Arabidopsis thaliana: one gene and its partner. The protein of the gene in region 2 interacts with the protein of the main gene of each other region in a pairwise test. Each region holds a gene or a part of one and is shown on either strand. Other genes may lie near its edges. The genes, in order: PIP2A and PLDGAMMA1.

Region 1 (5,170 bases), on a different chromosome or scaffold from region 2:
ATGAATTTATTTGTCCTTTCCGGTACAATAAAATTTGGACTTCATATGACTTTTATATTTTACTCATTTAAGTAATCGGAAATTACAATATAGAAATTTTTGATCTGTAAATATCATGTAAAGTATATATCCAATTGATTATCATTTGAATGCATATTAAATTATTAATTATGAAGACAGATAAATCAATATATGTTTGTTGATCTTGCTGTAGTACATTCTGGACTAATTCTTTCAATTGGAGTGACTAAAAAGGACAAAATTTATGCATAACGACGTCATACTATATGTAACTCGATTTGTCTAGAATATTTAGATAAGGTTAAGACTAGTTTTCTATGAATAGAAGAAAGTGTAAAATATATAAATAAACATACTAATAACAATTAACAACAGAACCAGAACCAGAAAATTCACATTTCTGTGCTTTTATTATCTAAAATTCACTTCGAAAAACATGAGAAAAAAGAGTTGGCTGACGTGGAATATTCGTCTAATAGTAGCCGACCAACGTAGCCAAAACGATAAGGTTTGCCACATGGCAAAACGATAACCATGGAACTGCATCTCCTGTCTTTTGTTTGGTTGTCACAATTTGTCATTTTTATTGGGATTTATTGTTTTGTTATATTTTCGTTTTCAGTCTAATTGTCAGCAATTTTCGCAAAAGATATGAAATTTTGGATATGAAGAGAAAATGCAAATGATTGGTGGGGACAACAAACGTGGCATTATGTGAGTGGTTGAGCGAACAAACGGCTATATGCTGAGATGGATTGGACGGTGACGATACGTTTGTCGGAGGGATCGGGTCGGTTAGTCACGCGCGCCACCCATTCACGTGTCACCTTTTGCCAACACAGACCATATGATTTTAACCTCAGTGGAATCTCGACCCACCCCACAAAACGGCACCATAACTTTACACCCTGGTTTTAGAGAGTGATATACCAACACAACAATTATGAAAAAGGGTTCGTTTAGGCTTTGGTTACTTTATGTTAGTAATATCAACTTAAATGCTAATTTGAGTTATGTGTGATAAGATATACGACGAATCAATTTACTTATCGTCAATTAAGTTTGAAATGAAAGTTTGTGAACGAAATAGTTTATGCTTCTTTAATATTGTGTCATAATTTTGAGTTCCGGCTCTAACATCTTCAAGTAGGGTTTTGTTTTATGACACCTCAAACATACTTAATAACATATGTTGGTGATAGAAAACTAGACCTTCTAGACTACAAAAATGTTTATAATGTAAGAGAATGACCATATATCTATCTATTTTGAAAACAAAGTGTTTTGACTTTGGTGAACAAGAAAAATGTTCTCTATATATACAATGAGACACTCGAATATAACCATGCATGATTAGTTGGATTTGGAGTGAAGAAACTTAGCCATGCTTCGTTGGAGCAAAATAAGGTTTTGGAGTTTTGTTATGTGTTTTCAAGAATGTAAATGCTGATTCGATAAAAAAAAAAAGTGGACGTAAGTTATTTTAAAATGATTTGGCATACAAAAACTGTGGCTTTTTAAATCTGAAAAATCGACAGGCTATGATATTATACGACAAAAAGAAGAGAGCACCATATTGATGATATAGTATATTGGGTCGGTCCTAAAGAAAATGACATTTAGGTGATGGGGGCGGCGAGGCTAAGTTAAAGTAAACAAAAAAAACCTCCATTATTTACCAGAAAAACATATAAAAATTTGATTGACATAAAAACTAATAAATTATTTCAAAGTTGTGGTTCTGATAGCTCTCCACCATCACCACTGATTGATACTTCCTATTGCTACGAGAGATAAAACTATGCAAGTTTATATGAGTGGATATAAAGTCTTGTTTTATGATATCATAAGCTAGCTAATCCCATATCATTATCATGTATTTATAGACGCATGTTCAATAGATTTGGATCAATCTTTTTGTCATGGACTTGGTGCAAACTATAACGTTAAATAGAATAAACTATTCTAATTTAGGATCTAAAATAAACTCGAATCAAATTTTAAAGAAATTTACTGGCTAACTTATTTGAATTTTTCAAATTTCAACGATTGAAAAACTCTAAGTCTGAAATTAAACTAGGGTTCTTGTCTTTACGTATTAGTAACTATGTATGATATTGATATATCAAGCAATCATTAAATAGAATTGGTTCAAAATTTATTTCAGGACAGCTAGTTCATAATCATTTTGTCAAAGCTACTTCCCTCATAATAATAATAATCATAACTCACTCGTATACTTTTATATCCAATTTTTTCATTGAAAATACAAACTTTCATTCCAAAAAAAAACCTCAATACACAAAAAACCAAAAAAACATATAACGTTGGCAAAAATACTAAAAATATTTTTTAAAAGATAAAGCAATAAAAAAGTATACAAACAAATTAACAAGAAGGAGAGCTCTCACTATAAAACAGAGCACATGTTCTTCTCACTAACCACTCCAACAGAGAAGCAAAAGAAAAAAAAGCTATTGTTTGAAAGAAGAAGAAGTTAACTATGGCAAAGGATGTGGAAGCCGTTCCCGGAGAAGGATTTCAGACAAGAGACTATCAAGATCCGCCACCAGCTCCGTTTATTGATGGAGCGGAGCTAAAGAAGTGGTCTTTCTACAGAGCAGTTATCGCAGAGTTCGTAGCCACTCTCCTCTTCTTATACATCACCGTTTTGACAGTCATCGGTTACAAGATTCAGTCCGATACTGATGCCGGTGGCGTAGATTGCGGCGGAGTTGGAATCCTCGGTATCGCTTGGGCCTTTGGTGGTATGATCTTCATCCTCGTCTACTGCACCGCCGGTATCTCTGGTATGATCCTTCTTTAATCTTGATTTTGGTTTGGTTTAGATTAAGATTATACACTTTTTGAGTATTAGAATTACAATTAAACCGAATAAGCTGAATAAGTTTTACTTATGTAAGTACAACTTGCAAACTCAAAATTTAGACAAGTAAAAATTATATGGTATGGTTTTGGTTTGTTTATTCGAAATTAATTATTTTGCAAGGAAAAATATTGCTTGGTTGACATTACTATTTAATCGGTTTAAAATCTTAGGTTTAAAAGACGAAAATGATTTGTTTATAAAACATTTAATAAGGGTCATGATCAAATCGGTTCTTATCCGAATGATATATATCTAATCTAAGCCTAGTAATTATTTTAAGCAACTGACTAACCCTGTCTTAACCAGAATTGAAACCGGTTAATTAATTGCTTGTTGTACCTTAATTCTCAAGTACTGGTAACATTGTCAACTCTTTTTGTTTCCTTAGGTGGTCACATTAACCCAGCGGTGACATTTGGGCTATTCTTGGCACGTAAAGTGTCGTTACCTAGGGCCCTATTGTACATAATCGCTCAGTGTTTGGGTGCGATTTGTGGAGTTGGTTTTGTCAAAGCCTTCCAAAGCTCTTACTACACCCGTTACGGAGGTGGAGCCAACTCTCTAGCCGATGGCTACAGCACAGGGACCGGTCTAGCCGCAGAGATCATTGGTACTTTCGTTCTTGTCTACACCGTCTTCTCTGCCACTGACCCCAAACGTAGTGCCAGAGACTCCCACGTTCCGGTGAGTCACATATGTAGTGCTATTAATCTTCAATATGGTTAACCGACTCAAAACCGGAACCAAAGCAAACCAAACCAACATTTGATTTCAATCATACTAATAAATTTGAATTTTGATGAAATAAAAGGTGTTGGCGCCACTTCCAATCGGATTTGCCGTGTTCATGGTACATTTGGCTACCATTCCCATTACCGGAACCGGAATTAACCCGGCAAGGAGTTTCGGAGCTGCCGTAATCTACAACAAGAGCAAGCCATGGGATGACCACGTAAGACCTCAACGTTTCTCCATTACATTCAACTATATTTTTCATTTTTACAAGGGAATAATGTTTTGAAATTTTGGTGATTACAAACAGTGGATATTTTGGGTTGGACCATTCATTGGAGCTGCGATAGCTGCATTCTACCACCAATTCGTTCTGAGAGCTTCAGGTTCTAAGTCTCTTGGATCATTCAGAAGTGCTGCCAACGTCTAAACACATCAAACCAGATTTCTCAAGAATAAATGAAGTTGTGATCTCTCTGTACAAATCTAAATCAGTCACTTGCAGTTTTCATTTCCCTTTCTTATATTTGTGTTTTCCACTTGCTCTTTTGTGAATTTTCCTTCGGTGTAATTGTTTTTTCTTTCGCTTTTAAACGAGTGATTGGAATTATAATCAATGAAATCAAAGAGGTTCTTATGCGTTGTGTTTACATTAATACTAGTACTAAAGTTAGTTTCCTTAGAGAATAACAACACCATGGGGCCATGTTCTTGGTCTTGTTTACGTCCTCCTCAAGATGCTCAGTGAATAAGCAGGATTTTGGAGAAACACATGTCTCTGCTTTAACGCAATCATTATCTTTCTAGAAAAGACCATTCCTTTATGTCTTCATACATCTCAGGCGGATAAAGCCTAGCGTGCACCAGCAGTAAGTTTTAGTTACTCTCTGAAACCGCCATTGTCCATTAACCCCATATGCCTCAAAGGCTCACAGAAACTGTTACATTCAAGATTCAACATACTTAGTCGTTTGTTACTTGACAATTATGAATCATATAGGAAATGCTCGAACTTGGCTGAGGATTGAGAGTCTTACCCTTCAGAATCTGCATTTTTTATGAGAACGTGAAGAGGTGTGGCCGCTCAAAATTGGCCTCTTGGTGGCCTAGCCTCAGCCTCTGAGACTGCCTACCATCCAAATCCTTTAATTACGAAAGTAAAACATGTGTTAGATGTTTGATCATTTACTGTAAGAAGTACTAATCGAATAAATTGTTATGCGAAGAAGAGAAATGATGATACTACTGCACCATTCAAAGAATTGATGGAGTTTTGAACCTCTCGGGAAGAGCTGAGTGTCACAAACCCAGTAGATCAGATTTGATATCGAGAAAGTTTCTAAAGGGACCTCATACAGTAGTAAGAAAATGACGAATGTAGTGATACAATAGGCTGGGATGCTTACGAACGATTTATGTTGTTTACTCTGGAGATGCTTGGCGGACAATTCAAAGATTTGGCAAACAACATCGCATAATGTACAAGAAAAGGCATATTCACCCCATCTAATACACGTCTCCCGAAGC
Region 2 (7,404 bases):
CACCATCTCTCAAATCTTTTAGAGATAATATAGATAGATCAGAGAAGATAGAAAGGAAAAAAGATGGTGTGACGCGTTGAATGCTCCATGGCCACTGCAAGAAAATGTAATAACACTTTCAGAAAATGGGGATGTAAGTAAAAAAAATTCGGAAAAATGTCTGCAAACTTATGAATCTACTCATGATCAAATGGAAGAAGAAAATCTCAAGAATCTTGACATTATTATCATTTGCTGACAAATTGCATAGAGAAGAGCAAGTCAACAAATCCTTATCTGCTTCCCTATTCTAATAATTGTATTGAGTTTTTCCTGTCTGACTTGTTGCAACTCCTTGGCTCCAACAAGTTACGAGGGAAAACATAGCGAACTCCTTCCAGTAGTTACTACTTAAACTAAGCTATGACTCTCTTCCTCCTCAACTTAAGCGATGCTTTGACCTCTGCTCAGTATTCCCCAAGGGCCATGTTTTCGATAGGGAGGAATTATTGCAGTAGACCTCTTATACCAACCAAGGAGCAGCAGAAGATTGGAAATGATTACCTGGTGATTTAGTTTGCTCAATCTTTTTTTTCATGACAAGCTTTGTGATGCATGATCTTATGAATGATTTAGCAAAAGCTGTTTCAGGATGACATTTTTCATTTTCTACAAGCCAATGTGATATTGTAATCATATAGTACTAAAGATATGACAACATTACTAAATTAAATCATATAGTAAAAATCCAAAACACACACTTTGATAGATCAATTGAAATTTTGTAATAAATAGATTTACAGCTCATAAATTTGAAAAGCACAACTAGACCCTAAAGGCACACTTTCAATCAGATCACACTGAGAGAGATTTCTTGAAGTGGAAGAAATAAAGAACAAATGTTGATCACTACAAGCCTACAAGGTAAGTTTCATATGGTGAGGTTTTCTTGTAGTGCAAGGAACGATCCTATGATCTTGCCACCCAGATCTGGGAATGTCTCGCATCCAGGAAGAGAACTCACTTTGCCTGTTCTATCAACTTGAACTGGATACTTAAGAAGATGACCTGACATCTCTGTGACTTCCTCTGCTGCATACTGTCTCCAATTCAGCTCACTCAATTGCCTTACTCGTCTCACGCATTCCATGTTCTCTGGTTCCTCGAAACCTTGCTCTAGAAACCCTAGATGTTCTGCCCATAACGACATTCTATACCCAAAGATCTGCAAGAAATTGGGACAAACCAGGGTTCAGACATGTTTAAGAGAACATACATTGGTGGGTTGCTAGTTTTTCGTCTTAGAATGCTGTCCTAGATTGAAAAGTAGAAGTATTTGAAAGTCTTATTTACCTGACCATGAGGACGAGAACCTTTCATAGCCCATGAATAGTGTGGCTGATACCCTCCCATGGCGATTTCAGTATCTCTAGTTCCTTCCAAGGATCTCTGGTTGATATTCGCGGAACCAATTAAGACAAACTCATCATCCACTACCATACCTTTGGAATGAACATATATCATGAATCTTCGACTCTTCAAAGCTTGTACCTAGATTAGTTTGTTGTTTCAGTGAGTTAACGAGGCCATTATGGTGAAACTCAAGATTTTAAAAAGAAGAAATTTATATATGTATACCTGTGCAGCATTTGCATTTGCGTTTGGCTGAGGTGGCTTCCGAGGACTATTATATACGCTAACTGTTCCAACAGGAACTTCTCTGGTTCCAAGACAGAAAAAGTTCAAAAAGTCTTGTGGCTCAAACTGGCTATCAAGACCAACTTCCACAAGTGCCTTGTAGATGGTTTGATACATCATTTGCATTGTCTTGTGCTGCAGAGATTATGAAAAGATTTCCGGTATGAAGACGGCAAGATAGGGTTGTTTTAGCAAAAAATTGACAAATTATTTACCTGCCAGTAGAGAATTCTTTGAATAGGGTTACTTGTTGGAGCACCTTCTGGCCACATTGGAATGACAATATAAGCAGCAAACTTCTCCCTTGCTCTAATTTTGTTAGCAATCTTAAGCGCGATTTCCATCGGGATTAGATTATTAGCACCTGCAATGCCAAAACTCCTTGTTATTACTGCACGCATTGATTACTGAGCTTGCCTTTAAAAGCTTTCAATTTTCTTACCCAAGTCCTTGTTTGAATCCCAGTTGAATGAAGATCCAAGAAAATATTGGTTCTCAATGTAAATGAAGTGCTGAGCAGATCGTATGGCCTTAACATAAGCTGCGTGTATGCTCATATCTATGAGAATATTCTTCCCACATAGAAGATTCTGTTCACAAATACAGTTTGTCAGCAGAGAATAGCAACATGATGACAAACTAAAACAGTTCACAGTTGTTCTTACTCTTCCAGTAGCTTCCTTTGGGTCCTTTGGAAACCCTTTGACTGAACTTGAATCAATGGAACGGAAAACCTAAAGATTAATATCATTGCAACAAAAATTAGATTCCTTTTGTAACCACCACAAATAAAAATAATGCTTCATGAGTTATCAATGATAATTAGTCTTGCTAAATTACCTGAACATGCCAAGACTCTGGATCATTATCATTAGCAGAAGAAGCTTCAGAAAGTCCCACGATGTCAGGAATTCTGTCTATCCTAAGCAAAGAATCATCAGAAGAAGATTTTAGTTTCCCAATTCCGCGAGGTTTTGAAGCCTTCATCCAGCGTTCCTCGAAATTAGCAAGTACATCATATGCAGCTGGACCATCAATCTTGCTGTGAAGATCATGCCATGGTTCTCTTGGTCCATCATCCGCAGTAGTCTAATAAGAAAAACAGATTTTACATGGATCAAGAATAGCGATTTTAATTCCAAAACTGCAACCAAGGAGGATTTTTCTTAAATGGTTACCACAAAATTTGGGTTGTGGAAGTCATCTTTATGGAGTGTCTTTAATGTCCTGAAGAGAGGATGCTTGGGAGTATCAAATCGTCCGTTGCACAAATCTAGCCCTCCAACAAATGCTACGATCTTTCTTCGGTTCTGAGCTGCTTCAGCGTCTACAATCACAGTTTTTTGATGATGCGTGTAGATTGTTCCAACTTCCTGATCATCATAATGACACTCAAATTTCAGATGATGAAACTATACACACGGGAGTTTAAGCAGTAAGCAGTAACTAATGAGCATCTTACAGATTTTTTTATGAAGCTGTGACCTTTCCCTCCAGATCTGGGACAAAGGAGAACTTGCACCGACGAATGCTTGAAAAAACGGCGAGTCTCCTCATCGCTTGTGTTCATAACTCCTTGCTACAACAAAACAAAAGCTTTCATTAAAACGATAGAAGGATCATTGCTTCAGTTAGTACAGACATGTAAAACGATCTAACTGAAGCAAACTCATGCTTTCCAACAAGATAGACAGTAGCGTGGATCTATTTTGGATACGGAACATTAGCCGGATTAAATAGAAACACAGAGAAAAACCTATGCGAAAAATTAAGAACATAGTATTAAACCTGCATATTTTTTTAACTCAGCATTCACGCAAACAGAGAAGCAACAACAGAGTTATGTAGATTCTTACTGTTTTGAATCCCAGAAGACTCCTTGACGTTGGATCGTCCCACACCAAAACCAACACTCTAACACCTTCTTGAGATTTGACTTTAAGCAACTCCCCTAATGTACCTTCGGTGGGATCATTGGTACGACGAACCAGCCTAACCGGATGGAAAACTGACCAACCTGTGATATAAATCAACCTTCTTGCCTGCCTTATTGCATCAGCCATATCCTCCCAGCACTTTCCATGTCTATACTGAATCCCACCATCAAGATGTACACTCGGAAGAGTACCGTCATCAACATGAGCATCCTGATACAGAGTAACCCTACCGCCTTTCCTCAAAGGGAAGTATGTACCGGGAACTCCTACACACTCATTACCAGAACCAACACCCATTTGGTAAAGTCTCATTCTTTCCATTGGAGTGTATTGAATAGACAAACCCAACACAGCACCTTGTTTACAAGGCTTCCCACTACTATTAAGTATCGGAAAGAGCCCTTCGATCCTATTCCCCGAACACAGCTGCTCCGTTGGGATTCCAACAGCTCCCATGATCTGTGATCCAATAATATCACTATCTTTCACAACAAAATGTACTTCAGCAGCACTATGAGCAACCGGTACATCAAAATGCTGCATCCACACAGGATTCTCACTATTGCTAATAACAAAAGTTCTACCAATCACAGCACCAGAGATAGAGACAGTAACATAAGGATCACTAGTGATCTTAGAAGACTTCTCACCTTCCACTTTCTTCCGACCTAACCCAGACAACATCCCACCAAGTCTGTTATGGAAACCATCCATATTAGGAAGATGTTTAGCTTCCTTAACCCAAATGTCTAAGTTACCATGTAACAATTCGACCCTCAAAGAGCCACTACTCGTAGCAAACGGCACGTATTGCTGGCCGCCCCCATGGCTTGACCCTCCTCCCATAGACATAGTCTCAGTATAAGCCGGATGATACGCCATGAAAATCGAAATCAAAAACCCAAAAAGTCAGAAACTTTCAGCTGTTAGATCAAATCTCAAGCGTAACCGAGTTCAGTGAGACAAAAGATCGATCACTTGGTGGGCAATAATCGAGAGATCAAGACTGAAGAGTGAAAAAAAAGAAGATAAAACTTTGTGATAATACAAACTCAGATCAAATGGAGATCTAAAAATATGGGCAAATTTATATGAAATCTCAGATTTTTGTGAAGAAGAAGGTGGGAGGAAACGAAGGGAACGTTGACTTGAAACGGAAGAATCGGAACATTTTAAAGATATTGGCTGCCGTTGTTGAATCGTTCTAACTTTAGCCATTAATAACACAAATTAATCTTCAATTAAACTAATAAATTATTTGTTTTTAGTAACGACGACTAAGAGGACTTCCACTTTGGTTGTTGGCTGCTCACGAAACTCTTTCTCTCTGGTCCCTCTTTTGATGCAACTTCATTTGAGTGGTGATGTTACTATTTTTATATATCAACTAGAAATTAAACATTCGACTTAATAGTGTAAGTAATAATTAAGCATGACATTTTCTTGAAATGAAATCATATTACTATTTAATATTTATTATCAACAAGAAGTAAACATTCGAAAAATCACTAAATTAAACCATATAATTGCGTATTGAATAATAAATCAAGACATTTTCTTCAATGGAGAAGACATTTTCATTGTTGAAGTCTTCCTCAATTTTGAACTATAATTTTCAACAGCTCTAGTGGATTCATATTATCTATCAGTCGTGGTCTTAGCACATCATTATCTTATAGTGAAAAGAAAAAAGTTGAACTTGTAAAGAAATACAAACTAGTTTGAAATTCGAATTGAGGGATTAGGATATAATTTATTTATTATTTTAAGTTTATAACTAGTCAAAATGATTAGCTAATGCAGATAAAAAGTATTTTAATTAGGGATTAATAATCACATTCTCCGATTACAACTTGAAAAAGTTGGCGATTAGTCAAACCGAGCCGGCTAAGCAGAATTATTATAAAAGGCATCACGGACAATAGCCGTTACTCCGTCAAAAAAGTAACGGCGATCAGAGTAACTTAACAGAACGAAAGCCAAAACGTGAACACAAACTCTAATTCGTCTCCCACTTCTCAAAAGGATAAAGAAAAGCTCTGATTTTTTATGAGCAACAAAAAATAGTTTAGTCAAAGCGCAATTACAGTTTATTTTTTGTTAAAACCAAAAAGCTTTTAAGGATTAAAATTAGTTAGGGAATAAGAAAAAGTTGGAAATTTACATAAGTGAAATGAGGATTTACATGATTCTACATTTGCTATCTTTATCTTTAGGGGATTTGCCGTCGTGTCTCGAAGACGCAGCTGATGATGGCCTGTGGCTGCTCCTTGGTACCTGCAATGGTCAGTACAATATCTGATCATTAACATTCATCCAAACACCACAAGAAGCAAGGCTGCATTATATTCAATGAGCTTCTGATTACGGTGTATGATCATTATCGATGTTTTACACTCGCAATTGGTACTTGTAAACTCATCTTAGTCGGTAAAGTATATGGACAGAAAACAAATGTACTAAACAGGACTTGCAGATGTGCTTGTTAAGGCTATACTCTCTTACTATTTTAATAATCAGTGTTGTATATTGTTGCAATGTGCAGGTCACACGGTAATTTACCTTTTCTTATAATCATTGTTAACCATTTGTGTCGATTCCTGCTTTTTAAGAATATAGTGTTATGAGTAGGAATGAAATACCTGTGGACCAGTGACCAATCGTGAGGCAGCAACGCTAGTTGGTTGTGGAGTTGGGTTACTACGTGGGCTCTGGTCCTCAAACTCTTGTTGTTGCAAAGCTATTGCTAGTTGCAGATCAGAACTGCATAGTACCATGGGAATTAAAATTAAACAATCATAAATATGTTTTTAAGAGGACAGTTATAACAAATGCATAAATGTGTCTCTGGTGAGAACCAATGGGTTAGTGGTCAAAGAAAGGTATGAAATATTTACTTGACATCTATGCCTGCATCCGCTACATTGTTGATGCTGGCAAGATAATCCTGTGTAGGGAGAACCAAAAGAAAAAAAATGATTAAAAAGGTAAAAGAAGGAGATCTAATGTGGATTAGTGACTATATTATGAGGAGAACATACAGCAGTATTTGTGACTGCGTTTCGTTCATCCCATGTGCCACTTGCACCACCTGTGCTGCTGTCGATCGTGAAGTCCTTGAAGGTAGCAGTCATGAATGCAGTGTCACCATTAACCTGAAACCAGATTGCATGTCAATAGTGGTCACAACAGCCATAGCTCTAAAGAGATTGTGGATATAGAGATATCTCCTAAGAAGCCAAAATTAGCAGATAAGACAAATGGTGAGTAAGTAACTTTTGCTGATACCTCGTTTAGTTTTTCCCAAACCAAATCAGGCTGATTCAGGTAACCTTGATCTGTAGCCAAAAGATAAAGTTCACCTTCATACTGAAAATATGACAGCAACAAGAAGAATTTAGTTGGGATTAACCTGTTGCAATTCAAAGATGGAAATAACCGCAAACTAAACAAACCTTGAACATGGTGCAGAAATGATTGTTCCGGAAAAAAACACAGAGTTCACGTTCTTTGAGGCCTTCTTGCAAGCGAAAGAGTCTGTAAGATATGATCAATAATCAATGTAAGATAATACATGAGCAGTCAATTTAAAATATAACTTCCTAACTATGAATAAGATCACGCACCCACAAAAGGTTAATTGACTTGCACTATTCTTCATAAAGTTCCTGATTAGTTCACCTGGAAAAACTCAAGAACAACTATTTAATAATTGCAAGAATATATGGAAAAATGTGAACTAGAGCAAAGAGAGCAGCTCTAACCACAATGGCATGCATGTATGAGTTTC

The links.
Region 1: the proteins of PLDGAMMA1 (region 2) and PIP2A come close enough for resonance energy transfer, tested with the Arabidopsis thaliana proteins (one study listed by BioGRID).

Annotation. Positions count from the first base shown.
Region 1 is NC_003074.8:19,802,809-19,807,978, reverse strand, and holds PIP2A (plasma membrane intrinsic protein 2A), read left to right. Parts: upstream 1-2,248; 5' UTR 2,249-2,524; coding exon 2,525-2,831; intron 2,832-3,299; coding exon 3,300-3,595; intron 3,596-3,722; coding exon 3,723-3,863; intron 3,864-3,953; coding exon 3,954-4,073; 3' UTR 4,074-4,506; downstream 4,507-5,170. UniProt on the Arabidopsis thaliana protein: Water channel required to facilitate the transport of water across cell membrane. Probably involved in root water uptake. Its function is impaired by Hg(2+).
Region 2 is NC_003075.7:7,128,442-7,135,845, forward strand, and holds PLDGAMMA1 (phospholipase D gamma 1), read right to left. Parts: upstream 4,945-7,404; 5' UTR 4,497-4,944; coding exon 3,534-4,496; intron 3,257-3,533; coding exon 3,140-3,256; intron 3,051-3,139; coding exon 2,856-3,050; intron 2,767-2,855; coding exon 2,518-2,766; intron 2,412-2,517; coding exon 2,343-2,411; intron 2,268-2,342; coding exon 2,120-2,267; intron 2,042-2,119; coding exon 1,893-2,041; intron 1,813-1,892; coding exon 1,618-1,812; intron 1,531-1,617; coding exon 1,333-1,530; intron 1,205-1,332; coding exon 911-1,204; 3' UTR 682-910; downstream 1-681. Other genes in the region: AT4G11860 (FAM63A-like protein (DUF544)), read right to left, coding at 5,796-5,891, 6,257-6,377, 6,512-6,561, 6,656-6,769, 6,903-6,983, 7,070-7,151, 7,241-7,295. UniProt on the Arabidopsis thaliana protein: Hydrolyzes glycerol-phospholipids at the terminal phosphodiesteric bond to generate phosphatidic acids (PA).